Linked DNA regions of Oreochromis niloticus. The protein of the gene in region 4 purifies or fractionates together with the protein of the main gene of each other region. This does not show direct contact. Links are inferred from orthologs where the notes say so. Each region holds a gene or a part of one and is shown on either strand. Other genes may lie near its edges. The genes, in order: psmg2, psmg4, pomp and psma5.

Region 1 (7,794 bases), on a different chromosome or scaffold from region 4:
CATGCAATCACACAAAAATGGAATGAAAATGAAAGGAAGCATGAATGAACATCAGCTGTCTCCTGATGCCTTTCTTGCTTTGTTCGGTGCAGGGATCACCCTCTCCTCAGCCTGCCTAATGTACTCATCACACCCCATGTTGGCACCTACACCTATGCTACAACAAGACGGATGGTTCAGTGCATGGTGGATAATGCCGTAGCAGCTGTGAATGGCCAACCTGTTCCCAATGAAGTCAAGTTGAAATGATTTTAATTAATATTGCCAAGAATTTTTTACATTTTTGTGTCCCTCTTAAAAAAGAAGGTGAGGTGGTGTTAGTTAGAGATTTATTTTTGGCTCTTTGGTTTCATTGTGGACACTTGTTGGGCAACAAACTGTAAAAACTTTTTACTTTTTGTGAAGAATAGGATAATATTCCTGCTATAGGATAAACAAAGATTCCCGTGTTGAATCTCTGACTTCCTCTAAGAAAACTCAATGACTGTTGAAACTTTAATTAGTTTGAGGAGAAACTATTTCATGTTCACGTTGGCAAAAGAACTCGCTGTAAAAGTCAAAAAACGAAAGAAAAGTTGCAGCTTGAATGCAACCACTCTTAGTTTATTAATCCAGTATGTATGTGAAGTATGAATGTTTAATTAATAAATAATTTTTTTAAAAAACTTCTTATTCTTGTTCTTATTCATGTTTTTTAAAGTATGTTGATGTCATTTTAGCGGAAAACATGTTGAATTATTATTATAATTTTTACTCATTATTACTCACTTCCTACTAACACAAGGCCTTTTAAGGTGGGTGGAAAGTCTTTCTGGGGAAGTTGTAAGGCTGATATGTTACTGCTTGTCCTTCTGAGTGACCATCTTGTCCTGTTTGGAACCAGGCTGATAACTCTGACCACAGTGCCCTTGGGCCCTGGACTGCAGGCCAGAATTACATCTCCAGCCCATTAGTCTGCTTTGAAAGAAAAACAAATCTTGTGTACCCTATTTTCAGTGTGAATATGGTGGTTTTCTACTGGTCGCTATTGGAACTCATTTCTTTCTTTTACTGAGGCCATTGTGTTGCCTAAATTTTAATTCAATTAAATTTTTATAAGTTAATTTTTAATTTATATAGCGCCAAATGACAACAACCGTTGCCTCAGGGTGCTTTATATTGTAAGGTAAAGACCCTACAATAAAAAAAAGAAAACAGAGAAAACCCCAACAATCATATGCCCCCCATATGTGCAAGCTCTTTGGTGACAGTGGGAAGGAAAAACTCCTTTTTAACAAGAAGAAACTGCCAGCATAACCAGGCTCGGGGAGGGGCAGCTCCCTTAATCCACAACTGGTTGGGATTAAGGGAGAAAGACAGAGCAAAGACATGCTGTGGACGAGAGCCAGAGATTAATAATAATTAAATAATTGAATGTAGAGAGGCATATAAACAGAATACGAGTAAAAAAGTAGAAAACTCGGTGCATAATGGGAATCCCCCAGCAGTTTAGACCTACTGCAAATGCAACCCTAAAATTTGCTGGGCCCCATGGTGGTAATAATGTCATAAGGTTGCAGAAAAGCAGCCTTATTACAAGCAGAAAAATGTTTCTCATAGGTCACCAAATAGCCGTTGACCCTAAGACTACCAGTATACCACAAAGCCTGATGGGAGTTGAAGTCACCGGATCAACTCTGGGGATCATCGGAATGGGACACATCAGATACAAAATTGCTCAGAGAAGCAAAGGGTTTGATATGAAGATCCTGTATCACAACAGACACAGAAGGTAAGCACAGTTTGGACAGTTTATGAGTTTGTGACAGAAAATTCTATAATAACTGATCGAAAACGTCGTGCTACAGTGAATTGAATACAAACTATTCAAAAGAATTAAAGGAACACTTTGAAAATTAAATCAGATCTCAGTGTGAAGCACAGGGCGCCCACCCTGGACCTGCCAATTCTGGTATTCTATTGCATATGTCAACCAGGCTCCAGTGAGCACAGGGCCAGGATGTCGGGCCCTCAGAACACCTTCATGAAGTCTGTTTCTGATTGTTCAGAGACATTCTCACCAGTGGCCTGCTGGAGGTTGTTTTGTAGCTCAGGCAATGCTTATCATGCTCCTCCTTGCACTAAGGAGCCAATACCAGTCCTGCTGATGAGTTAAGGATTTTCCAGCTCTCCTACAGTAACTGCCTGTCTCCTGGAAGCTCCTCCATGCTCTTGAGACTGTGCTGGAAGAGACAGAAAATCTTCTGAAAGTATTGACGTGCCATCCTGGAGGACTTGGACTACTAGTGCAGCCTTTGTAGGGTCCAGGCATCATGATACCAGTAGTGACACTGAGCCTAGCCAAATGCAAAACTAGGGACAGTCTGAAAAGAAGAAGAGAGAAAAATGTCACTAGCCTCCGCCTGTAAAACCAATTCCTGTTTTAAGGGTTGTCTCATTGTTGCCACTTTAGTGCACCTGGTGTTAATTTTTATCATCACCAAAGCAGCTGATACTGATTAAACTCCCTCTGCTACTCAACTGATCAATATACCAGAAAATTAACTGACTTGATGCTGTTTAAATATATATTAAATATCCCAATTTTAAAATTTTAAATCTGATGTTAATACCGTGTTAATACAGTGATACTGTGACTGCAAGTCCTCACCAGTCTTCGAGCTTTCAGTCTGATTTTGTGTCTTTTTTTGTCTTTTCATGTTTCAGGTCTGGTTGTGGATCAGGATGCTTTAGTCGAAGCTCTGGGGTCCGGAGAAATTCGAGCAGCAGCTTTAGATGTGACTCATCCTGAACCTTTACCTAGGTAATATGTCTCTGAAGACACCCACGCTCTGCAGCCAGAGCGGTACATCGCATAATCATAATGATGAACTCTTACGTGTGAGGTACTCAGGGTTGTATGCAAGGCTTCTTGCATACAGTGTAAACAGAATCATTAAGTTGTGTTTTAAATAATGCTCTGCTTGTTTCAGGCACATTAAAAAAGATTAAAAAGCTGCTTGAAGAATCTTACAATGAGTAAGATCAGTCAATTCCATAATTTGTTTACCACATCTGACTTTAAAGGTTCTTGTTCCATTCTTGTTTGATATAGGATTCTAGTTGCTCAGCAGTGATGGGTCGTCTTTGTCCTGTTTGTCTTTTTTCTTTCTTTTTTCACTCTTCTGCTATGAAGTCATGCTGTTGTAATAGATGCAGTATGTGGTTTTGCATGATCTTGCTGAAATATTCAAAGCCTTCCCTAAAAAGAACGTCATCTAGATGGGATCAGGGGTCCATGTTTTCCAAAAATAATTTCAAATCATGTCTCGTCTGACCATAGAACAGTTTTTCACTTTGCCTCAGTTCAGTTTAAATTAGCTTTGGCCCAGAGAAGACATTATTTTAATTGGGGAGATGTGGGCTGGAAGTAGTTCACTTTCAAAATAAAAGCATGCAGACATAAACAACATATAAAATATATGCAATATATATAAAAACAGACTAACAAAACCACACAGTGAAACTCACAGAATAAAAAATAAAAATTACTTCCACCCTGTGACAGATGCAGTGATGTCCATGATAGAATCATGCTTTTAACGCCATGCCCACAGATAACAGACATTCTGTATCGATTTTTCAGCCTTGTCTGTTGCGCCCAGAGATTCCTAAAGATTCTTAGAATCTTCATAAAGTTTACATTCAGGAACAATATTCTAAAATTGTTCCAGAATTTGTAAACTTGATTGTTGACCCTCTGCCCATCTTTACTTCTGAGACACTCGGCCTCTCTAAGGTGCTCTTTTTATACCCAACCATGTTACTGACCTGTTGCAAACTGACCAATTAAAGCTGTTTCTCTTTAGTATCTTACATGTCTGATTGTTATGCAATTTTCATCTTCTACACCAGCTTTAATCTTACTTTAAGCACAACAAGCTGGAGAGGAATATATTATTCCTTTACCACAATGTGCATGCAACTCTGGAAGGCATCCTTCAATATGCAGAAAATATGTAACATTAATATATTAAATACATAAGAAAGTAAATTAACAAATATAAATATGAACATATAGACAAATTGTTTAAAGTATCACATGTCCTTACTAAAGGCCTTTTTATTTAAGTACAAATTTTACATAAAAGTTAGGCTGAGATAATGCAACAAATAAATAAATAATTGTGGATATTCAGGAATTTTTTGAATGTGTAATTTGTTTATAAGCAGATTATTGGTATTGTTATTTTGTTATTTTCCAGAGAAGTCAGGATTGTTGTTGACTTTAACAACAACAACAACAAAGCTTCAGTTATTTCTTTGCTGTCAACGTACCTAACAGAATAGACAAACAGCCAACAGCAGCATGACACAGGCAATAACAACACGTATGGCATATTTATATTTATATGTGCAATTCCGCCGAGTGTAAAGTTGTTGGAATAAATTATGTAATGAAGGGATGGATAAATTGTTACCACACATACAGTAGTACATATATGGACAGAAGGAGGCCGGACGGATGGGTGGATGGGTCTATGGATGTATGTATCGATAGAGAAATGAACACAGCACAATTGAGGCAACAGAGTTGAGGATCTCTAATACGCAGTAAATCTTTGCAGCGCTACAGTCTGACCGTTAACATGCCTGATCATAATAGAAACACATAAAACACCACTTTAAATGACAGTAAGTAAAAAACACTTGGAGCTTTAAACAAATCTGTGGACGCTTGTTAAAGACGTCTACTTAAAACTATTAAAAAAAAACAAAGCTTCACTGTAACATTTAATTTAGGCATTCCCGCGTGGTACTAAAACCGTCATCAACAGTCGACACAGAGCCGAGCAGGTCCACAACGCCAGGCATGAAAATAGAAGCGAAAGTTGCCCTGGGATTATAATTTAGACGTCTAACTTTTAATTTAGTTTGTTTATCTGGAGGCTTGTAGGGTCGTGTGTGCCTGCTGGCTGAACAGCACCATGTTTATCTCCTCGCAGAGCTCAGCACCCTCCTTCAGAGATTTTACCCTCGTCATGGTGAGTGACGGAGGAAAATAATCCTCCCATCAGTTCCTGCTTCATGCTTTCATATGAGACTCGTGTAATCACCAGGGAAAAACAAAAGCTTCACTTCTCTGATTTTCATCCAAGAAACTGGCTGTGTATAAAAATACCTTTAATTCCTACACATGTAATGCAAAAGTCTTGTTAAACCCCTGATTGAAGTCCACTGTGGAGGGGCGCAGAGGCAAAGTCTTGAGCCAGCCCTTATTTCTTTATATTTCCAGAGCAATCTTTTTGTGTGTCAAGCCACTAAACATTTACCTGTGAATCATTCAAGCTCATAAAAGACACCTAACTGAAGGGATGAATGAATGACACATGACACGCACCCTGTTACGATAATGCATGGCAACGTTTATTCCCATTGTTTTAGTTAAATCTATGGAAAATGTCAAAGAATAATAGTACAAATTTGTTTTTGCCTGCTGTATTTCCATGTATATTTGAACAATTTGCTGCATCTGTTTTCCATTGTTATTGCAAAATATAAAGAAATAAGGGGTGACTTTAAACTTTTGCACAGTGCAGTAAAACTACAAAAAAATTTAACTGTCTTAAAACTTGAAAAAAAAACTTAGAGGCCTAATAAAAACTGGAACTCTCTAACATGTGTTTTTCTTCATCATATGTTTTGCACAACTACATGAAAATGTGCTCAGGAAAAGGAAAAAGTGATTTAAACGGTTCCTGCCTTCTCTTTAATTTTGTTACTTATCCTCTTCCTCTTTCCTCCTCCAGCCTGCGGTGGCCGTAGGTAATGTGGGTCAGCTGGCCGTGGATCTCATCGTGTCCACTCTGAACATGAGTAGGGTGGGCCACATACACACTGACTGTCTCATCCCGATGGCCGGGAACGACCCGTACGCCAGCAGCAAAGAAGATGGCGAGGAGCTGCACACTCCTGCTGAAGGTACAGTTGATTCACTGCTGGTGCCTGTCTAACACAGAGGTGTCAGAAATTTTAAAAAAAACAAACAAACAAAACAAAAAAACTCAGAAATGTTCCCTTTGAGTCTGCTGTCTCTTTCTTGCTGTCCGCTGGGATGTCCGCTATCCCAGCTGTGACCTTCTGATTGTTTTTAATCAGCACTATGTCGTATTAGTTGGCCAGCGGCTGCTTATCCACCAAAGGACATTAGTCCTGTTGTCGTCAACCATCAGTCAGGTGATCAGCAGTTTTGTCTGCAGCTGCTGTGAAGTCAAAAGAAAAGTAACCCTCTGTTCTCCACAGTTTACGCAGCAGCAGAACTGAAGCTGGCGGTCCTTCAGATCAGAGCACCAATTCTTCAGGTAACAATCAGTCATCAGTATGACATCAGTATGACGTCAGTTCATTCTCTGAGTTCCCTTCATACTGTATGACTATTGTTGTTTTCTTTTGTTCTACCTTTGTTTAAACTGCAGTCAAAGACCAAAAAGTTTCGTCAGCTGCTCGTGTCCTGGATCAAATCCAGCGGCTTCTCCAGGACTGTCGTCCTCTCCAGCAGCCACGCCTACCAGAGAGATGACCAGCAGCTGCAGGGGTAAATACGCTTGCAACGCCATCGCCTTATTTCTTCACTTTTGCATTTTTCAATCATGTCTGCTCAACAAACACGTGTCTCGGCTAGCACTCCTTTGAGGTACCTGGTCACGCCGTCCCTGCTGAAGGGGAGCGCGGACGCTTTGAAGGAACTGGGCTGGAGGGAAATGGAGCGAGTCCCGGCCTTCCCCGGACTCACAGATGGAAACACGGAACCACGGCTCTGCATCCCCGGAGGAGGCATCACCAAAGGACTTTACACAGACAGGTAGATACGGGAGACCTGCAGGCAGACACAAGGGCATCAAAAACACAGGGAGCTGTTTTTAAAATCTTTTTTATTTATGTCTGTAAGAGCATGGGTTTAATAATTATTTGAATATAAATCACAATAAAGGCAGCTGCAGGTGTCTGCTGTGTGTTCAGACACTTTATTAAGAATGTTGAAACGCCTCAGTAAGAGTTCCTTGTTAATATTATTTGTGTTTGTGTGATCACGTTTGCTGCACAGTTGCAAAGAGGACCTCCCGCTGGCTGTGCTGCTCGTCTTCTGTTCAGAAGGCGACAACATCCCCGATGCCTTCGCTCTGGCGAACCACCTCAACGACTGGCTCCATCTGCTGGACGATAACGTAAGTGACACCACGGCGCAGCATTAAAGCAACCTAAAGTTTCAGAGGAGTGGTAATGTCACTGTGAGGTGAATCATTGTTCTCCAATTCTGCTTTCAGAGCAAACAGCCCAACAAATGGAAGATCCCGACTTCCTGGAGTCTCCTGTTTGGAAACGGCATCCCGCCTGCACTGTTCTGATATAAGTGTATAGTGTTTTAGTTTTTTACCCTCTATAATTTGTGTTTAATGCAAGACGTTTGCTCCACATGTTGTCGTTTTCAGACCTCAGCAAACTCTCAACTGGGGCCAAACCCGGTGACTGATGGCAGCGCTGACATATATAGAAAGATGGAAATTGCCCACATAAATCTCCTCTATCTTGGAAATGTATCTTAAATAACTCAAACATAACAAAATAAAATGTACAGGATGTGACCCAAACATTCACTTCTGGACTGCTATTTCCTGGTTTAAAACAAAAATGTTTTTCTAATAAAAAGTTGTTACAGGAACGTGGTGTGAATTCATCTTGATTGTGGCCCTTTCACTGGATTAAGCCTCCACCCACTTAACTGAAAGTGGTTGGCCAGGCTCCATGCTGTATTCC
Region 2 (7,433 bases), on a different chromosome or scaffold from region 4:
TCAGCCAGTCAGTTCCTTAATTTCATTGGCTGTGGGTGAGAAAAAAAAATCCCATGTTTCCTGTTTAGTTGTCAAGGCAACATTATGTGGTAAAGACACCATGGATGAGTAGTCATCCCTGTAGACTTTGCATTAGGCATGTGTATAAACAAAGTTGGCTTATTGTAGAATCGATTGTCCAAAGACAATTCTACCCAGTCATGAACTGGCAGGTAAAAAGACGTCCACGTTCAGCCTTACAATTGCCCTCTGCATCACCCTGCACATTTCCAGAAATAGATACTACAACATTGGTTAGCATACCAGGTTCTTGTTGTGTAGGTACACTGCTAATGAGTCAACACTCAGTTGACACTGAGTCAACAGTCAACCAGCAGTCCTTTGTTCACACTGGTAGTTGCATTAACCACTCACCTCAAAACTGAAATAGGTTACTTGCCTCCTACTCACTTAACATTGTCAGTGTTTCACCTGTTGCAAGCTGCTGAGTTTCAGTGATATTTGTAGTAGCTTGCCATCACCTGTGTGTGAATGGGTGGATGACTGATGTGTAAAGCGCTTTGGGGTCCTTAGGGACTAGTAAAGCGCTACACAAATACAGGTCATTTACCATTTTATTTATATATTTCATAGTGTCTTCCAGTGTGGACATCACTTTATAGTGGACACTGAGATTGGCCAAGTATTTTCACAAAACCAAGATAAATGGCTATTCTTTGCTGCTGTGTTTTGGACCAAGTTAAATGTAGTGTATCATTTTACACTCCACAGCATATCAGAGGTCTGAAACACTTCTCCAAGCCACCTGTAATTAAGTTTGACGATAGAACTTGTGGAGATTTGAGACTTGCCTTGCTTCTGTAATTAACTGCAATATCAGAATCACTTTTGATTTCAAACCTATCGTTTCACGGTTACACTAGTTATTGTACTAACACACACTCTGAATACTCCAAACACAGATATGCTACTTTGAAGCATCACTCTATTCAAGTTTCAATTCTCCCTGCTGACTCTCAGGAAGGAAGGTCAAGTAGACGCCAAAAACACATGCAAGAAAAAAGCATGCCAGTGACTCTGGGTTCAAAATTACATCAATGGTAAAATTCTAACATATAATAGAAATCCACAATTAAGAAGCACATGGCAACTTAAATGAGCATTTTATGACTTTGCTGTAGCCATCTCCTACATACAACACATATTGCAAACTAGTGTTATACATTACCTAATCTTTGTGCCAAAGAATTTGGTGCTGTGTTGGATGGGTCCCCCATAACTAAAGTAGATAATGGCATTGAATCCTGCAGACAAAAGCATATAAGCTGTTAGCTTCCCTTTCCAAATTAACATGTAAGTGACTTAATACCTGTTTATAGGCCTAGGTCATTTTTTTTAAACTCAGGGAAATAGAGAAACACTTTTAATCTTCACAAGACTCGCTTTCTCACTCTGACATACATATACATATATATATGTATGGATATATATATATATATATATATATATATATATACATATATATATATATATATATACATATATATATATATATATATATATATATCAGTCTATATACAGTATATAATGTAAAATACTGGATCATCATATTAGTGAACCAACAAAAAATGTAGTCAATATTTGTAAATGTAATCCCTGTGAGCCAAGAGCTCAGGCTACAGACTGCTCAAAATGCTCTCTTTAGGCAGTTTTCTTATACTCTTGGCTCTGGATGATGTCACTGAGGATGGATACCCCTAATATGGTCATCTCAGACACAAGTCCCGCCCGATTATTTGCTCTTCTGTTTCCTAGGGGATGATGTTACAGACAGGGAATGAACTGAATGGCTGCACTGAGACCCAGTATAAGATAAACAGCAAATATGCATGGTTGATTGGAAGAGATGTGTGTTACTGTTGCCATTCCTAGAAGTGGGGGGTAAGCTTGTTAGTGTCGGCCTACTTAAACCTACTGCAAGGCTCTACCCAGGTGTAACCCAATCAACTCAAGGACTCTCCACCATTGAGTCTCTGCAAGAGTATACAAAAAGGCCCTCACAAAAGCAACGCAACTATAGTAGAGTCCAAAAGTACAACTATGAACGAATATGGAGATATAAACAACAGAATAAAACCGATCCAGAACAAAAAGAATTAGTTTCCTCATTTCCCTCTTGTGCTACGTAGCCAGGACAAGGTGGATAAAATGATCCCCCATGTCATATTACATACAATATAAGAAAATAAATAAATCAACTGCAGCCATCTAAGTAGGAGGCTAACTGGTAACAAATGTTTTGTTCAGCCCAAAGAAGTTCAAGTATTTTGTTTACAACATATAAATAAAAAAAGTGGAGCCGTACAACATTTCATTTTCAAAAGACCAAAAAATGCTGAGGAATTGTTTCATTTACACCGCCAAATTAATAAAAAAAAAAAAAAAAAACATTAATTTTTTCAACATAAATTTAGGAAAAGCCCAGCAAAATAAGATAAAAAAAAAAAAATCATATTAATTTTAACGTATATATTCTTTATGAAAAACGTTTATTTTGAAAATCATCCTAAAAAAAATTAAGACCTGCGCTTTTAAATACCGAGTTTCTTATTCTTCACCCGACGAATATACCCAATATTCTTTATTTCTGGAAAACGGCTTACCAGTACTTAGTGAATGAAGGTGTGCTGTGCGGTACTTACATATTTGCTGCTCATCGACACTGCTAAGTTGGACAGAACCGGAGCCGAACCGACCCAAAGGAAAAACCCGCCGCTGAGCTTCATGACGTGAAAGTGTACCACCTGCTCCAGAATCTTTTCAGAGAAATTGTGAACGGAAATTCCCTTAAATTCCGCACCGTTCTGCATTTTGCCACTTTTGTTTCACTCTTTATTGGATGAACATCTAAAGTCCGCGTTAGCTTAACTATAAACAGCATGGAATACTTCCTGGTTTAACAAAAAAGGCAGGCCAAAGCAATCGATCATCGATGCTCGAGAGTGAGAATCCAGCACAACTGATCTTGGTGCCGCAATAGATCCCTATATTACACATTCAGTGTGAATTAAGACACATATATTAGCTGTTAATGACACTTTCTTACAGTGGCACCCTCTATGAAATACCAGAGACTTTATAAGAGTTTTTATTGGTAAATATTTTATTCTTGTGCAATAGACTCATTGGGCTGTGTCATAGACTGTATAAAAGATGCCAATGACGTCCTCCATTTGTCCAAAAAGCCATGTTGGGTTTTAGAAGCCAAAGGTGACCATATTTAGTAGAGACGGAAGTATGCTATGATTTTAGCTAAGGCTAGCAGTCTGCAGCCATAAACTGTATGGTTGCCACGCAGCCTGCTAATGAATGACAAGTCAAAAATAAATAAAACAATTAAAATCCCACTCACCAACACTTCACAGCACAAACCTCTTGGACAGCCAGTACTTCACAGCAGCTCCTATTATTTGTCAGATAGAGCTATAGTGGCCAAAACGTTTTCTTGTACCGGACTGTAAACATCTTTATTTTGCTGTGAGCTTAAGCATTTTAACACTGGAGCCTCTGGGATTTTACCACCGGATTCACTGAAGTTTTGCTTCAGCCCTTGAAGGTGACACTTTGGGCTTTCCTTGTCAAATAAATGTACGATATTGCAGTTAGAGATGGTAGTAATGTTTCTCCTCTTCCAATAAAGCCTCTGGCCTGCTGAGCCCTTGATACATTTTTAGTAAACTTTGCTCCAGAGCATCCTGTTAAAGACACTTGTCACAGGTCTATAGCTGGATAGATCCCAGAGTTTGTTACAAATGAAATTTATTTACATTAAATTGTAACTTTAATTAATGTAAAAAGCTGTTTCGCATATTTCTATATTTTTGTTAAATCTAACATTCCAAATGAAGATTGCATCATAAAAAGTAATCAAAGTAATGTTACAATCCACATTCTACATTTTATTTTTAAAGTAAGTAACACCAATTCTTTTGCTACACAATCGAATAATGAAGCCATGGTTTCACTCTTCAAGAAAGTCTTCCACCAGTTTGTTGAATTCATCAGCATACCGCAGGTGGAGGTTGTGTTTCCCCTCTGGCATTAAATGCACTCTAGATTTGGGGATGAAAATCTTGATTTAGCTTGTACCTAAAAGTGAAATTCATCAATTTGTGGTAATATTATTGTGCATGCTCACCGTGAACCTTTGATGTGTTTGAGGAGGTACTCAGGGTGGAGAATTGGCACCATGGGGTCTTTCTCTCCATGGATGATGAGGGTTGGACAGCTGATCAGGGGCAGATGTTCCATGCAGATGCTTCCTAACCAGAGAGCAAAAAGGAAACATTCAGATTATCTGCTGCTATGCATTAGCAAGAGACAAAATTAACAAGTATCTTTTCAGATTGTCTAGTGCGCCTGCAGCAGCACAGAGCCATCACCTTCTGGTCTGTGGGCAAACTGTGCGATTCCATCCACCCAGGCCTCCCACAGTTTAGCAAAGACTTGCTCCCCATACACCTCCTCCATGGGTTGCCTCATCCTCGCACTCCATTTGGAGACATCACGCACCTCTGAGTGTTCCCACAACATAACCGTTCACACACAAACACACAACACGCACATATTCAAATGAAAGCCAGTTTGTAGCTCGAATAACTTGCCACTTGTCCAAGGCAATGAAAAGTGACGCACCATTGTAAAGCTTGAGGTCATGCTGGGAAACAAAAGCATTGGCTCCCCACACAACCATCTTCTTGATCAAATGGGGGTTCCTTGCAGCTGCAACCAGAGCGGTGATTCCCCCATCACTCCACCCGAGCAGGGAGAACTTGCTGAATCCCAGTGTCTGCCAAAGAAATCATAAAAAAGTAGGTTGTGTCAAAGCGGTAACACAACTTGCTGTTGTAAAAAATGCAAAAACTTTCTTTTTTAACCGCAAGACTAGACAGGGGCCCTGAATTGTACTTTTATCTGTGTATGAATTGTGATATATAAACCAGATTGCATTTGAAATGCAGAAAATAATGCAGAAAAAAATTAGTCTTCATGCTTCTGAATGTACAGATATTGTGAGAAACCTATCTGACAGAATCCTTCCTGAATGATTCACAGTTCTAAGACATTTTGAACAGTGAAGCATGAAAAGGGTTGGTGGTGGGGGGTGGGGGTGGCCTTTAAATTTTCTGTTTTGAATCATCTCTCAAATTTGAATAACAGGTAGGCGGGGCCAGAATAATGTGCCTGTGAAGATTACTTATACGCATCTAGTATTTACAATCTTTTTCACAACTTTGGCTGTGTGTAATATGAGCATCCACTATTGGAACATATAGTATACAATAACAAGATCAAAGAGAAAAATCAAAGAGAATATTAAAATATTATTAAAGCTTATCAACACACAACAGCTGTGTTGGATTCTGCACCCATCTAATTTCACATACTGCACGTGTAGCTCATAGGTCGCCAGTGATTTCGAAATTTATATTTGCATAAGAGTTATGATGATGGTTAAAAAGCAATTTGATTGGCATACAAAATATTGCAGAAGTACTGAAAGGAGGGGGGATTTGTTTGTAGCCTCATACCGGAAACTATAAAACCCCAGACTGGGGCTTTTTGTCATGTTCATTACTGAAGGGTAAAAGAAGGATATAGCTTCATAAACCAGGAATTTTAATATTGGCGTATGAAAATAACATGTCTCAGTATTAGAATTGGAAGGTGGATTAGACATCATTGAAGTCAGGGTCGCCTAAATTTTGATCAGAACACAAAGCAGAGAATAGAGGAGGCATATACACTGACTGTATATACTAATTTATTAATTGTGCTTTAAACACTTTCTCTTATAAAACTGCGTAAAAAAACAAAACAAAAAAGAAAGGACAAAAAGAACAAAAAGAAAAGGTCCAGGTAATTTTTTAAAGGTAATTTCCTGCCAGTACATTATCTGTTTTGTTATGGGAGTTTCCATAAATGGTAAAACTCGATCTGTGGTTAAAAAAATATATTAGGATTCGTATTGCTTTCTAATATCTATCCAGATATTAGACTGTAGTAAAATCTAGCAGGTTTTGGATTGCAGAATTTAACTTATTTTCCATTTTGAATGAATTCTAGACCTTTATTATTTTACTACACGCTGAACTGAGCATGAAGTTCATCACTCCCCATATGTTCCTTTCTTTCACATGCCCCCCAGAGAAGGGGCTTCTCGGGAAACTGTACGGGTCAGATTGGTAATCATTTTCACCCTGAGTTTATCAGCAAACCTTCATAAGATCAACTGCATCCTTCGCATCCCTCTCAAAAAAGTCAGGGGGGAAGTCTCTGTCTGGGGGACGGGATTGTCCATACCCACGGGGATCCCAGCCAACTACAGTGAAGCGTTCTTTGCTCAGAGACTTAAGCTGAGCACCAAAATCCGTCTTTGTGCTTCCTGCAGTAGAAAACATAACAGTTTTTTTTAGATGCTTAAAGGACTTAATCAAACTGTACTGAAGGATATGTTATTCTTGCAACAGAGATATTTTGAGTATAGAAAAAGATTTTGATGTCTTCACATATAGCCAAACTTTTCTTCTACATTAAAAGGAGGCGTGTGCTTTTATTTACCCAGAGCGCCAGGAAGCAACAGCACAGCATGTTTTCCTCTGCCTGTCTGCTCATAGTACAGATTCACTCCATTAACAGGCTTCTTGCCTGAGGCCACTGAAGTGCTGCAGGGAAACACACGGGGAGACGGTGGTAGTCAAAATGAGCGGAGGGTAGCAGAATAAGGTAGAATAGTTACTTTGAATGTTACAACCAAAGATAACAAAGCCGTCCTTTGTTAGGACAATTACAGCAATCACATTGTCCAACTTTGATGGGAATAGAAGAATCTTGGGTTTCGTGGGGCCTTAAAAGCAGGTTTGAAAAGTGGAACCATTGTTCAGCTTAACCCTCAGCGACAGCATCTGTTCCTGTAGATTTAGAGTGCTGATGTATGGCACTGTCTTATTCTTGGTCTCTGTGTACTATTAAAGTTATTTTGCTGGGATGAACTAGAAATGCAAAGTTTCTACCTACATTACTGCTGAACACTCGGCTGCGAACCGTTCCAGTGCGAGCTGGAGGCCCTCACCCGATGAAGCCAACAGAACCACATCATCCGCAAAAAGCAGAGATGAGATTCTGAGGCCACCGAAGTGAAAGCCCTCCGCCACTTGGCTCCAGCCGAGTGTGAAGCAGCGGGAATGAGGATCAGCACCTCCAAATCTGAGGCCATGGTTCTCAGCCGGAAAAGGGTGGAGTGCCCACTCCGGGTCGGGGATGAGTTCCTGCCCCAAGTGGAGGAGTTTAAGTATCTCGGGGTCTTGTTCGCGAGTGATGGGAGAAGGGAGCCGGAGATCGACAGACGGATTGGTGCTGCGGCTGCAGTGATG
Region 3 (6,756 bases), on a different chromosome or scaffold from region 4:
TTTCAACTGGTTGCAGATGTTTGATCAGCCCATGCCACCAAGCAGCAGCCATTATGAATTCAACCTCAATGATTTCCACCCTGCTATTAATGTTAACAACCCCGGGCTTCACAGTGCAAATTTTAAAAGAGAAAGTGGAGAGCCTTGCCAACAGCTCCTTAAACTCTAAATGGAGAGTACAGTCGTATAAACATGCAATTAGACTTAAATAACATATTTGAAGAATTTAATTGTGGGATGAAAAAGAACGATTTAGATATCAATGACTTTTTTAAGGACACTTCAAGTTAGGCAAATGAAGAATGAGTGAAGTGAAGAATAACATGGATTAAAATACAAGTGTTGCTCTTTATTAACCTGTTGCATTGGCAAATCAATGTTAGCTATACAGGTGAACATACTCAGAGTGGGTAGTGAGGCTTTGTTACACCTTCTCTCTGAACACATGCCAGGTAATTTTATCAGCGCAAGCTCATCTAAAAATGTAAATAACTGATCAAATGAACCAGGACAATGAGGAGAGTCATGAAGTTTATTAGAAATAACCAAATTAAATCATACAAAAGCAGCCTGTGTGAGTGACTCTTTTCAAGATCACTACACACACACACATACACGTCCTGCTCAAAAGTACTCCACAACTAAAACTCTCCACCAACTACTAACTTTGGTTATGGAGTTGATAAACAAATGTATTCATACATAATAATAATATGGATCTGTGTGCCCAACTCTGTTCACAACAATCCCAATTTGTACTCCACCATCATGTGTGGCTCACCCATCACTTCACTCTGGGCTGGATCTATAAAGGAAAAAGACAAAAGCACAGTATAAGCTATGGTTTTATTTCAACACACATATCACTGAAGGTGTAAAAGGGAAGGACAAGGTTCCCACCGTTGAGGACGTCTTCAAATCCAATGGACTCATCGCTGTTTCGCAGCGTATCGAGAGCCAAATTTGAGCTCTGTAGGAATGGGAGACGCTGGATCTGGAGGGAAGAAACAGTTGGTGTCAGGACTGAGAAGGAAAAAAGAAAACAAAACAAGAGAACACCCTAAAAAAGGACTGCAGCTACCTGTCGGGCCGCCCTGTACTCCATTTGCAGTTTGAGAGGAGCGTGAAGACCCTGGATGTTTCTGAGTGTTGAGAAATTCATCTTATCCTGGTTCAACTGGAACTGCTCATGGAGAAACAGAAAACAGTGAGATACCGAGAGAAACGTATTTTTACTACTTGCCCTTTGTGTCTATTGTGATTAAACTGAGCTGCATTTGACAAAAAAAGTAATTTTTATAGTAAAACCAAGCACAAAACACAAATACCATTTAAGCATTTTATGGAGACAGCATTAATTGGTTTAATGACTCACATTTTTTTCTGACAGCTCCAGCGGGTGGCTTGGAAGCAGTTCATTCTTAACACTGGTAAATCTGTTTAATAAAAGTAGTAGAGAAAAAAAAAAGTGTTACAAACAGCACGTTGTTCTTTATTTGGGGGCTAATACAAAAATGTGTTTTTTGAGGTTATCATGCAACTGTGTTTCATTTTTAACAGTTTCTCACCCACTACGGAGGGAGTCCTGCACTCCGTAAGCTCCCTGTGGAGAGAACCCAGCCACAGGTACACTGTCCTTAAGCTGAGAGCGAAGTCCTCTGGAATTCTGTAGTCCACATCAAAGACATACATAAACCATTTACATTTGATCACACTTAGCTAATGGCTATCTAATGTAGCTAATAGCAACAAATACTGGAAGTTGTATTTATCTAAGGGACCTTGTGGCTAACCTAAGCGCTAGCTGGCATTAGCTCGAGTGACTAATCAAATTCACAGCTACTCAGTTTGGGCACGGTTAAAAACAAACAGCTTCACCACCGAGACTTCAAATGATCACACAGATTATTAAAGCAAAGAGAGTACGCAACAACAAGGCTTAAGATATTTAAAAAATATGGTATAGGCATTAAAAACGCTATCATACCATTTTCACTTCGTTTGTTCCCCTTTCCTTTCGATACACTGCTGTATCCGGTAGCGTCTCGTTTTGATGACGACACATCCGCTGATAGCGTTATGTACAGAACCACGTCTTTCCAGTTAAACATACTATCGTGTGCTGTACAGTATCTAAAGTATACGAAATCAATTCGTTATCACTTAACTGAAGATAGAAACATGAACTCCCAACTTCGTGTGGGGAATGATTATGATCATGACAAATACGTATGCGTCCGCTGTGCTAAACGTGAGGGGGTATAGCTCAGTGGTAGAGCATTTGACTGCAGATCAAGAGGTCCCCGGTTCAAATCCGGGTGCCCCCTGTTTTCCAATTTTTGCGTTAGTCATTTGCAAAACTTTAATTTATCACTTTAATGACAAGTACAGCTTTTGGAATTTAATGATAATAATAATAATAATGATAACAGCCAGAATATCTGTTACATCAATTACCATACTATGTAGCATTACATTTACAGATACATGGCTTCAATCAAACAAGTAACAAGTAAGGCTGACCTGTAAAATGCACTTCTCTCTACAGTGGTACAGTGTGCTCCCACAATGAGCTGAACACCCTCGGATATCAAGTTAAGAAACACAAAAGCCATAAATACAGTTAGATCCAGTTGGGATTGTCATTTTGCCTTCATATACCACCAGCATATATTTGAATTGAACAGTCAAGACGTGATTGAAGACAAGGGGAGTCATTTTCATGCAGCACTGGATTTTAAGATGCTCAGAAGTAGAAGTACTTCTGAGCACAAGAAGTATTGGAAAATTGACCAAATGTCTCATTATTCCATGAGAAACTAAGGATGTGGAATTGATTCAGTAGAAGCTGGTGATCTGCCAATTCAGTCACCTCAGCAATCCATAGGCACATGGTGATTTCCAGCTATCAGACGGATACAAACACACCGGATATCAGCTGTACGTTGATTTGCAGATGTTTGCGAGCTGATGATTAAGGACAATTTTTGGCAGTCTGACTCTCTGGAATTCGGAATGTGGTTTAACACACTGTTACTGTAACAAACTATAGTCTACACACTAACAAAAAATGGCACACAGTGATGTCTACTTATATGACAGACTAACAAAGACTGTAAACAACTGCAAGTTTCAGACTTTATTAAAGTGAATACTGCAACAATAACAGTGTGGCACACTCCACTTCGAGACTGCACAGTTTTAACATAAATCATGTTTGTTCTGCTGCCAGCTCGTGTGGATCTAACCTGGGTGGGTGAGAAGGGCCATCTGTAGGAGATATGAGAAAAAGGTGATGAAGAAAAAGGAAGACAGAATAGCATGAGACTGGATTATCAGGATCATCCAAAGACTTCCAAAGCAACCTACATGATGTTGCCATGTTAGCTATCAATTTAAAAAAATCAGATGGCAGCACAGAATACAGTATTTAGGGAATATTTTTACCTTTGCTCTGCTCAGAGGAGTAACTACAGGCCAAATGTCTCCATTCCTCCATATACCTGCACAGGCAAGAGAGGAAAATTCATACTCGGTGGTGGTGGTGGTGGTGGGGGGGCGGGGTACATCCTACGATGCGGGAAATTATAAGAAAAATTACAAATGCCACAAACATTCTAATCAGTGTGCCTTACTCCTCGAAGTTTAGAGTGTTGGTCCAGGCCAGCAGCTCATCCAGCTCCCATTCCAGTATTTCATCATCTCCTTTCTTTTCAACGGTCTCCATGAATTCCTGGGTGGAACTCTCCACCAGGGCCGCCATGTGTCTGTGCTCCGCATGATCCTGCAGACGACCCTCTTTATACCTGTATGTAAGGAACAGGAGTGACAGCTCATTTAGCACAATTAAAGCAACACACCATTATGTGTTTGTTAGCAAAGATGTGATTCTATAAGGGGGAGGTTTCTATCACTATTAATAAATAACAGACACAAACTTCAGATTGCATTTAAATTATTGTGATCACTGATGCCACAGTGGTTTGCTCGCCAACTGTTTCATTTCACAAAAGCGCTTACATCTGTTTCAGCCATTCAATTTTCTTTCTCTTCCTCCACCTCTCTAAATCTTGCTTCCGCTGCAACTTGGAGTAATGAAAGTCCATTTTTTTGTCAGCACCGATCTCTGCAGGCTCACATGCTAAAACCACCTAAGAGAGAAGACGAAGCAAAAAACAAAAAAAAAACAGACTTGCAGAACTTTGGCTTTTAGAAGCTTCCTGTTAAAAAGCATTTGTAAACTTGCTGTAGCTCTTTGGCTCACTGTTTCTAAACAAATGGCAGAACTTGACTAAAGCAGAACAAAAACTCATTTTTGTTCCTCACCTTGTTACAGAACAGCCTCCAACTATTGTTCTCCATGCGCTGGTACCAACCCAATCGGTCATCCTTTGCGACGGCTGGGCCTTTGTTGGTCTTCTGGGCCACAAGCTTCCTACGGCTTTGCTTGGTGTAGTCTTTCGGACTGCCTGCACACACATCCGTAATGGGCCGATGGGTGAAGATCTTGTAATAGATATTGGGAGGAAAGTTGATCTAAAGTGGCAGAGAGGTTAGATGTCAGAAGGCATGTCTCTAATATCATATCCATATAGCTCCTGAGTGATCTATTCCTGACCTATACTATTTCCTCTCTGAGCTCTTACCCCTCCAAGTCGAAATCTGATAAACACTCCAGCTGCAGCATCCAGTAGTTCGGCCTGCCACAACAAAATCACATTTCATTTTGTTTGATTTGGTTTTATTTCATAGGGGTTGCAATTTCCATTACCTCTCGAGGATTGACAGTTTTGAGGATGGTCTTTGGATCCCGCTGTTTGCAGTAGAAAATCAGCTCTTTGAAATACCTGAAGACTTCACTGGCCTGCAATTTGGGTAGATAAAAACAAGTTGTGCCTACAATTGTGCACATATGTGAGTCTGTGTTCCCATAGCAGTAGTAGCAGATGCTCCTACCACATATCCTCTCCAAGCCCTCTGAATTATTCTGACTGCCACTTCCTGCAGTGTCCCTTGTTGGGGCTCCTCCTCCTGCAAGCTACAGAAGAGGAAACATGAGAAGGAAGGACAAAGAGACCGATTATTTTTTACATTACAATATATTGCATAATGTATCTTATGATGAGTTCTACTGATGAGAGAACCAATAGTGGAATATTTACACTGACTTAGATACTTATTTTTCGTATAATCTGGTGGTATGCACTTTTACTTTATTCAAATTTTAGTCATTTTAATTGACTTTATATTGGTAATTCACCGTCCTTTTATTTGGGAGGAATTAAGCTGATTTTTTTAATGTACATTTTCCATTACTTTTAACCAACTGTTAAGGTTAACTGTTATTAGGACTTTAAATATAAAAATGTGCAGTCATTTTCTAAAATATCATACACAGCAGCACATTAGTTGCCTATTAAATTGCCTTAGTAATACTATGCCAGAATAATAACTTATTCAAGCAATTTCTGACATAGCATATTGGTAATTACTGTGATAAAATAAAAACGGGGTTTTCAGTGCGCATGCGCCGACCAGCATGCAGCCTGTCACAGCCTGCTGCAGTTTGTCTTGCTTTTTTCTCGTTAGTTTAGCTTTTTTTTCCCTTACTTGTACTTTCATCTGTTTATTATCTTTCCCCCAATCATGTGGATTGAGAGAGTTTTTGTTCTACATAATTTTCCCTATGGATCAATAAAGTATTCTGATTCTCTGTGTGTATGTATCAATAAAACGGCATAAAAACTTCTGCATAATGGAAAAGTCATAAAAATGTTGTCCCAACTATGTACAATACAAAAATAAGATGATTTAAAGTTTGCAATTTATCTGGGAACTAAGCTAAGGCATCAAACAGCTAACGTTAGCTAACTTAAGCCAGGGAAATAATATCTACAGTATTTACATTGTGTGATACACACGTGACTTCTTATCATATGCAAACGTCATTATGATGTAAAATATACATCACCTCATGACTGCTGCCAATAAATGTCTAAACTTATCAGCTGATGACAGCAGAAGCTTTGAAAATATCTCAGTAAGTTACTTGGCAACATAGCCTGACATTAATTAGTCTTCCGGAAAGTACTTTCAAAATAAAATGTTGTTTTGCTCAGTTGTATTACTTAACGGTAGGACATAGAAGTTCATTATAAGTCAAGACCAAGACTGATATTTTACAAGCCCAGGTACAAATAAATAAATAAATACATAAATAAATAAATAAAAATTAGATACATCTCTATAGGTCTTGACTTTAGCCCTTTTTTGCCTTAAGAATTGCCTTAATTCTTCATGGCATAGCTTCAACAAAGTACTGAAAACATTCCTCAGAGATTTTGGTCCATATTGAAATGATAGCATCACACAGCTGCTGCAGATTTGTCCATGTTGTGATTCTCCCTTTCTACCACATCCCAAATGTGCTTAATTGGTTTGAGATCTGGTGACTGTGGGGGCCCTTTAAGTACAGTCAACTCATTGTTAGGTTCAAGAAACCAGATGATTAAAGTTTTGTGACATGGCATGTTATCCTGCTGGAAGCAGCCATCAGCAGCCATGGTCAGAAACAATACTCTGGCAGGGTGAGGGACTGGATATTTGATCTTTTTTGGACCATTCTGTGAGGTTTTGTGCTAAAATCCCAGCAGTTCAGCAGTTTCTGAAACACGCAGAGCAGTCACCCACAACCACGTCATGTTTAGAGCCATTTAAACCACCTTTCTTCCCCATTCAGATGCTCAGTTTGACCTT
Region 4 (7,377 bases):
CTCAGAACAACAGGAAACTCCAAGGAACTCAGTGAGAATCTAACAAAGAGAACTGTAGATTCACACAAGTAAGGTCTCTTGGAGCCATTTCTAAAACAACTGCTTAATCCAAAATCATCACTTAAAACAACTTTTTGTATGTACAAGTTATTTGGATGCATTATTAATTTGCCAAGACAGTTGGCAAAGACCCAAACTTTGGGTCAGTTTGGGCAAAAACAGTTTCCCTCTGATGAGAGGAAATTTGTGAGGATGTTCTGGAACAACCCAGGAATCACCAAGCATCAAGCCTGAAATTAACTGGAAACTGCTGGAAGACCAGCATCACTGTCCACGGTGAAGTGAGTTTTAAATCAACATGTACAGAGAGGGTGCCGACCAAGAAGGAAGCTCCAAAATAAACTCTTTTTTGCAGCTGTCCATATGGACTAGCCAAATGCCTTCTGGAGAAAAATAAGACGGTCAGATGAGACAAACATTAAACTCTTTGGCTATAATGAGAAGCGGGATGATTGAAGAGTTAAAGGTAAGGCTTTCAAACCTAAGAACATTGTACCAACTGTCAAGCACGGTGGTCGCCATCATGCTCTGGGGCTGCGTTGCTGCCAGTGGTACTGGTACATTGTACAAAGTAGATGGAATAAAGAAGGAGGACTGCCTCCAAATTCTTCAAATTCACCTCAAATCATCAGCTAAATGGTTGAAATTTGGACACAGTTCGGTGTTCCAACAGGAAAATGATCCCAAACACATCAAAACTGGTTTTGGAATAAATAAAGTAGATTAACATTAAGCAACTGGAATGGCCTTCCCAAATTCCCGAACTCACCTCATTGAAATTTGAGGACTATGCTTAAAAGCTGTCATTAAACAAGTCATTAAACATCTATGCTGTACAATCGTTACACCCTGGAAAAACAGTTCCAAGAAATAATCCAAAGCAGATTAACCAGGACATGTACATGTCAATTGTAATGTTAAAAGCAAATCTTAGCTCTTGATCTGTCTGAGGAAACAAGTAGAAACACCTGCTGATCCTCCTCCTCGTCGCTCCAGTCTGTCCACACACTACGTCGGTTGATGCACGGCAGCACCGCAGTGCTCCCGAGCAGCACCACGTACACGGCCTTATGCCCATCCCAGTATCGCTGTACTTTACGACCTTTGTGGCAAAAACAAGTCAAAGGGGTTTGTGGATTAATACTAATGTACTTCGGCTCACATGCTGGTAGCTGGTAGAGTGTGATACATACGTGATTTAGTGACATTGAGCTGGACTCTGATTGTCTCATAGAGGTTGCAGTAGAGATGGTGGAGGTTGCAGGAGTACAGACCTCGGTCATTCATCGTCACATCTGTCATTACATGTAGAAGTACAGCAAATCAAGCATGGCCACTTAGGAAACGGAAGTGCACACTTCATATTAAAGCAAACCTTTTTCCAAAACCTTTTAGATTTAATGGCATAGTTTTTTTTTTCATTATCGGCAAAGTGATTGAGTTTATAGAGGCTTCAGATTTATTCCTTTGTGTGGCATTTATGTATTTGTGAAACCCTCGTTGACTCTGTGTTTTAGATTTGGTGTTGGATGGTAATCTATGTAAACTGGGCATTTTAGTTTTTGTTAATGAGGTAGCAATGGGGACCAGTTGCGTACTGACGGGAAATCAGAGACAAATACCGAAATAAATCACTTGAAAAAATTGCACACAGAGCTTTAATAATTTTAATGATTTTAATCATAGCCAGACCGACTGCCTCTATTAGAAGACATGGTTGCCCTGTAACAGTATAGTGGTCACACTGATGCAATTTAGCCATACCTCTGCATGGAAGAGAGGTGATAAGGGGATGATATCTGATTGTGAGGGGAGATGTGTCAGGATGCATTTGGCTTTCTACCTGTGTTAAACAAATATCTAGATGGTCTTTGATTTTAACTGCATTTCAGTGGCAATGATTCACCTTTCTTTTAAAATGTTTGTCTACATACTCTATGTGTGATCTGAAATATTTGTTATAAGAACATAAAAAGCAAAGCCACAGTGAGACACACCAACAAAGTAAAGTTGGCCAGTTACAGTTACACATGAAAGACAAAAACAGAATGTGTCTGTTACTTTTGATAACCAGGGAGAAGTTTCCATCTTTGAAGGCTGTCGGGTTGAGACCAACCCTGCCCAGATTGTAGGAGTTGTACATCCTCTGTTCTCCTGCCGAGAACATGTCCAGCACCCTCTCCATGGCGTAGTCCGGATAAGCCCTGTACATATCCCAGTGGATCACCCTCTGCCTGTCTCTCACCCTGTCCCTGGTCCACACCATCCGGCTGCTCACACACTGCAGCACCAGCTTCGAACCAGCAGGGGAGCTCACATTATAACCTGCCACAACTATGCTGCTGCTGCTCTCAGCCTGACATGACACTGACAAAGGACAGACAGGGTGCAGCATTTTTAGTACTCATGGACACATAGATCACATGTGCACACACACAAGGAGAAACCTACCTGCAGTGAAGAAGCAGGCCACAGGGACTGGAAAAACAAAACAAAAAAACAGTAGAAATAAGCAAACGGGTTAATCACTTAAACAGGTATTCAGACAAAATCTGTAGCTCCCTGCATCTGAAAATGCATATGTGTGTGTGTGTGTGTGTGTGTAGGCAATTTACTGCAGGTGTAAACAAATATATATTCCTATCTGGAAACACTCTTGGGCTTTGTTTTTGTACTGTGCAGTTAGGCCTGATTGAGATTGGCCCTCACTCAGTGTTTCTCATCTCCGAGAATGTATATAACGCAGAATGTATCTGCGTTATAAGTGTGGACGGAAGTCTGGTTTTAAAATCAGCCCAGAAAAATACATCAATCTACCTTAACGACACTAGAAACAAACAAACAAATCTTTAAAACGTTCTTTCACCTCAGGAAAAAAAGGAAAAAAGAGGAAAAGTTACTTAGTAAAATATATTTTTCATTTCTTTAGAGTGGAGAATCTGAGCCCAACTTCTAAAATACTTTAACTCACGAATGCAAAGTCTATCCACGCTTGCAACAAAAGCAAAACAGTGCTTCACTCCAGCCTACTTACTGTGGATCAAGAGGAGAGTCTGAAAAATGATGTCGTCCCTCTTGGTTTTCATCTTTTCAGTTTTAAGCCGATAAGTCCGTGTTCTGCACCTGGCAGTCCGCCCTGAGCATGAGAAAATACGTCCAGCCTGTCTGTTCGCAACAACAACCCGTCAAGGTTAGTCACATTCCAGAGTTTGGAGAGATCTTCGCTGCCACAGCACCAAGTTAGAGCCCAACACAGAACCAAAACAGGGCCGAACGGAACTGAATCCAGCCGAGAAATGAAACCCGACACCGCCAAGTAAACCTCCTCTCACAAACCCCCGACTTATTAGCCTACAATAAAAAATCTCAAGAGAGACATTTGTTTTTACACTTAAAGATAACATTCTCTTACTTTTCCACTAAATTGTGTTAATAGCTGTACATCATTACTTTTGCAGTGGTGGCATATTGGTATTCGTATTACAGCACATTTCAAAAGCCACACTGCTTAAATTCCGTTTAATTTCGGCATTTTTCCAGGAGCACTCAGTAAGCCAAACAATCATTTCCAAGAGCATAGCAGATAACTTAACCACTAATCTCGATACGTTTAAAGTGCTGTATTGACTGTAAATTGGAATATTTTATATTTTGGGGTATTTAACCGGATGAAGAAATCAGACACATCACCAGGTCATCATCTCTTCTAATTCAGCTCAATGACGACACCCAGCGGTTGGTTCCCCTCTCAAGCGGCCACAATAATTTTGTAAATTATACCATGTTTTGGAGCCTGGTGTGCCTTTTTGCCACTACGAAGGCCAAGTTCGACATTCTCGTGAATGACATTAAAATCCCATTGTCACAAAAGAGTCGTTCCCATACCGGGAGTCGAACCCGGGCCGCCTGGGTGAAAACCAGGAATCCTAACCGCTAGACCATATGGGACACCGTGCTCATAAATCGTGTAATGTTACATAATACACGTACGTAAACGCATGGCATCCAACGATGATTACCTATGTCTGTTTTTGTTAAGTTGTATTCTTGTTATTCTGACTTGCACGAATTGGAACAATTATTTGTCTTCAGTAGATTTCATTAACAATTTGTCTTCAGACAAAAAGAAAAATTATGATTGTAGGAAACAACATCGTGTTTTCAGGCAACATTACCCAGCTTTATTTTTCCTCATTTTTCACAAATACCAGTATTATAATGTGCTTTCTTGTTTTTGAATTTTACAAGTAAAAAAAATAATAACAACCACAAAATCAAAAGCTTTTTATTTCAGAGTACATAAATAAAGTTAATTTAATGAAGCATATTTTGACTTGGAAACGCGGAACGTTGGTTAGGGAATTGCTAACAACCGGCGCGTTTGGATGTAACACACCTAACGCTTCCTCTGAAACAAGCGAACTCATTGAAGGGTTTTTGGCTGAAGGTAAACGAGCCGAGCAAGTGAAGTTATTTTGAATAATACCGGGAAATTGTACACATATATTTCCCCGGACATTGTTAAACTGATGGAATTTTGATGTTTGATGTATATTTGTGTCTAATATGCAGTTAATTGTGTAATTGGTTGCGCTGTTAGCTAGCACGCCTGTTCGGTATCACCGCTAACTGCAGCTAGCAGATAACCCGGTGTCACAGCAAACTTGAAACCAAAAACTAGAATTAGCTCTCAATATTTGCTTTAACTTGTTGTTACTGTACAGAAATCTTACACAAATAACGCATCTATCTTTTTCTAGGTCCTGCGTTTAACGTTATAAGATGTTTTTGACCAGATCGGAATATGACAGGTAGGTGAAGCACAAACTGCTTTGTCATTTATTGAGCGCTTAACAGAGGGAAATGAACAAACGAACGAGAGCACACAGGTGTTTTATTGTCTACCCGAGAAAGAAAGCCCGGTTAGACGCCTAAAGAAAATACAGAAAATGCTGATTTCGTGAAACACTTATTGTAACGGTGTCTCTACAGCTTGTATCAGCTAGCAGCTAATAATCAATGTTAGGAAAAAGTTGGTTCGCTTTCACTTTCGGTATGCCATCTTTTTCAAGCTGAGCGTTTATTTACTTTGCTGTTATAAGGGAATAGAGGTGCAAATAATAATAGTGAAAAATAACTTTTACAGCTATCTTTAATATATTAATCGTTGCTAAAAGTTCTAAACATTAATTTCTGTTTTCCAGAGGTGTGAACACATTTTCTCCTGAGGGAAGATTGTTCCAGGTTGAATATGCCATAGAGGCAATAAAAGTGAGTACTTCACAGGAATCTTTAACCATGTATGCACGGTTAATAAACAAAGTGATTATATTCAAGCTCATCTATTTTCTTTGGCCTGGCTTTGCTCTTCTAGTTGGGCTCCACAGCCATCGGTATCCAGACATCAGAAGGGGTATGTCTGGCTGTGGAGAAGAGGATCACCTCTCCCCTGATGGAGCCCAACAGCATTGAGAAGATTGTGGAGATTGATAGTCACATTGGTAAGTGGAAATGGACCGTGACAAAGGATTAAGGCTTTTGTTGACATAATATTACTGGCTGTTTTTTGTAATGAGATAAGATATCCAGTCAGCTAAACTAGTTAATTGATTCTTCGATTAAAATTGGACTTGAAATGCATGTTATTGTTTTTGTTTTTTAACATAGAAATCCAGTGCAATATTGTTAAAGAAAAGGAAAAGCAAAAATTTTTGTTATTTTCTTTTTAGCCCAGAGAATATTATTATTAATTGTATGTACACTTCAATTTTCAAAAAACTTTATTCCCTTACAAAAAGAGAAACATGGACAAAAAAAACTGAAACCGTCTAGATCAATAGATTGAAACAACCTAAAGAGTCATTCCATGTGAATTCACTAAATTTAAGAAAAAAAGATTTCAGCCAGACCCTCTCTGATTTACTTCAGAGCACTGATTTTAAATATTTTTGCAATTAAATCAGAGCCATTTTAGCCAAGCATTGCTTAAACCAAATATTATTAGATTTAGTTTTTTGGCTGATTTAGTTTGTGTGACAATATAGACCAAATTAAAGCTGTTTATGAAATTGTTTTTGAAAGCATCATCTCTTTATTATTTGGTCCCTTTGCAAGACTGTAAAGCAGAAAATAGATAAATAAAAACATTTTAAGTGAACAAAGTGCCATTAATAGTACTTTAAACCAGAGAATGTCACTGGGCTACTCCATGTAAAGATTGGTGAAAATATCTTAAAGTTCTCTCTTTTTTTTTCTTTTTTTTTTCAAATATTTTGTGATTGTGTGTGTGTTGTTTTTTGTTTTGGTTTGGGTTTTTTTGTTTTGTTTTGGGTTGTTTTCGCAGCCCTCTGTTTAAGGGAGAGTATTCATCTTAAAAAAACACCTCGAGAAATGATTCTCTTTCCTTTGCTCCAGCTAAAACTCTTTGGTATAAGTGGCTTAAATTAGTCAGAACATTGTCACGCAAAGCTAAGCAAATCAAGTCCTTGACTTTAACTTTCACACTGTTGTTGTAGCCGTTTCAGACAAATGTTAATCAGTGCATTGGTCACATCCACATTCTTGCACAGTAAAGCTTTCCTTCGGATTACACGAAATTTCATCACGTTTGTCTCACTTTGATGATGAAGAGTCTTGCTTTAGGCCACAGCCTGTGAAAGATATATGCAGGTTTTTAGTTTTCTTTCTTTTCACGTCTTAGGCTGTGCCATGAGCGGCTTGATAGCTGATGCCAAGACTCTTATCGACAAAGCAAGAGTGGAAACACAGGTATGATTTCAGAGCACAGCGCTGTATAAGGCGTATTTAGAGTGCTGTGTTTATCTGCGGTTAACCTGTATGCGCTCTGTTTCAGAACCACTGGTTCACTTACAATGAGACGATGACAGTGGAGAGTGTGACTCAGGCTGTGTCCAACCTGGCGCTGCAGTTTGGGGAGGAAGATGCAGACCCTGGTGCCATGGTGAGTCACTCAGCCAGTGTTTGTGCTTTCATTTTGAGATGCAGACCAAAAAAAGTTTGATGTTTAACTTCTATTTGTGTCTTTACTTTGTTTTAAACAGAGTCGACCTTTCGGTGTTGCGCTTCTGTTTGGGGGAGTTGATGAAAAAGGACCTCAGCTGTATGTCAACATAATTGTTTATATTTTAAAATTTAAGGGATATTTGCTTGCTTTGCTTAAACACATGTATCGTTTTGTGTGTGTGTGTAATACAGGTATCACATGGACCCATCAGGAACTTTTGTGCAGTGTGATGCTCGGGCCATCGGTTCTGCATCTGAGGGAGCACAGAGCTCTCTGCAAGAGGTCTACCACAA

The links.
Region 1: the proteins of psma5 (region 4) and psmg2 purify together in Homo sapiens (affinity purification with mass spectrometry; 4 studies listed by BioGRID and IntAct, counting the BioPlex papers as one, with this or other methods). This does not show direct contact. The link is inferred for Oreochromis niloticus from reciprocal best matches to the Homo sapiens genes PSMA5 and PSMG2.
Region 2: the proteins of psma5 (region 4) and psmg4 purify together in Homo sapiens (co-immunoprecipitation; 3 studies listed by BioGRID and IntAct, with this or other methods). This does not show direct contact. The link is inferred for Oreochromis niloticus from reciprocal best matches to the Homo sapiens genes PSMA5 and PSMG4.
Region 3: the proteins of psma5 (region 4) and pomp purify together in Homo sapiens (co-immunoprecipitation; 6 studies listed by BioGRID and IntAct, with this or other methods). This does not show direct contact. The link is inferred for Oreochromis niloticus from reciprocal best matches to the Homo sapiens genes PSMA5 and POMP.

The regions. Positions count from the first base shown.
Region 1 is NC_031985.2:19,890,718-19,898,511, forward strand, and holds psmg2 (proteasome assembly chaperone 2), read left to right. Parts: upstream 1-4,794; 5' UTR 4,795-4,967; coding exon 4,968-5,024; intron 5,025-5,789; coding exon 5,790-5,961; intron 5,962-6,282; coding exon 6,283-6,341; intron 6,342-6,455; coding exon 6,456-6,574; intron 6,575-6,661; coding exon 6,662-6,841; intron 6,842-7,084; coding exon 7,085-7,205; intron 7,206-7,304; coding exon 7,305-7,385; 3' UTR 7,386-7,699; downstream 7,700-7,794. Other genes in the region: uncharacterized protein zgc:136493, read left to right, coding at 93-249. UniProt on the Homo sapiens protein: Chaperone protein which promotes assembly of the 20S proteasome as part of a heterodimer with PSMG1.
Region 2 is NC_031981.2:27,035,270-27,042,702, forward strand, and holds the start of psmg4 (proteasome assembly chaperone 4), read right to left. Parts: upstream 3,005-7,433; 5' UTR 2,871-3,004; coding exon 2,703-2,870; intron 1,305-2,702; coding exon 1,229-1,304; intron 1-1,228. Other genes in the region: bphl (valacyclovir hydrolase), read right to left, coding at 4,022-4,112, 4,199-4,322, 4,443-4,574, 4,696-4,849, 6,279-6,445, 6,622-6,725. UniProt on the Homo sapiens protein: Chaperone protein which promotes assembly of the 20S proteasome.
Region 3 is NC_031974.2:26,857,469-26,864,224, forward strand, and holds pomp (proteasome maturation protein), read right to left. Parts: upstream 2,148-6,756; 5' UTR 2,066-2,147; coding exon 1,988-2,065; intron 1,667-1,987; coding exon 1,569-1,666; intron 1,437-1,568; coding exon 1,376-1,436; intron 1,184-1,375; coding exon 1,082-1,183; intron 995-1,081; coding exon 901-994; intron 806-900; coding exon 738-805; 3' UTR 514-737; downstream 1-513. Other genes in the region: lg9h11orf65 (protein MFI), read right to left, coding at 3,212-3,270, 3,448-3,503, 3,636-3,806, 4,021-4,151, 4,327-4,536, 4,647-4,700, 4,772-4,864, 4,957-5,038 and 1 more. UniProt on the Homo sapiens protein: Molecular chaperone essential for the assembly of standard proteasomes and immunoproteasomes. Degraded after completion of proteasome maturation. Mediates the association of 20S preproteasome with the endoplasmic reticulum.
Region 4 is NC_031970.2:25,680,697-25,688,073, reverse strand, and holds the start of psma5 (proteasome subunit alpha type-5), read left to right. Parts: upstream 1-4,376; 5' UTR 4,377-4,507; intron 4,508-4,820; 5' UTR 4,821-4,842; coding exon 4,843-4,871; intron 4,872-5,264; coding exon 5,265-5,331; intron 5,332-5,434; coding exon 5,435-5,561; intron 5,562-6,760; coding exon 6,761-6,828; intron 6,829-6,913; coding exon 6,914-7,021; intron 7,022-7,121; coding exon 7,122-7,180; intron 7,181-7,275; coding exon 7,276-7,377. Other genes in the region: matrix remodeling-associated protein 8, read right to left, coding at 1,029-1,162, 1,254-1,355, 2,122-2,427, 2,512-2,538, 3,095-3,146. UniProt on the Homo sapiens protein: Component of the 20S core proteasome complex involved in the proteolytic degradation of most intracellular proteins. This complex plays numerous essential roles within the cell by associating with different regulatory particles.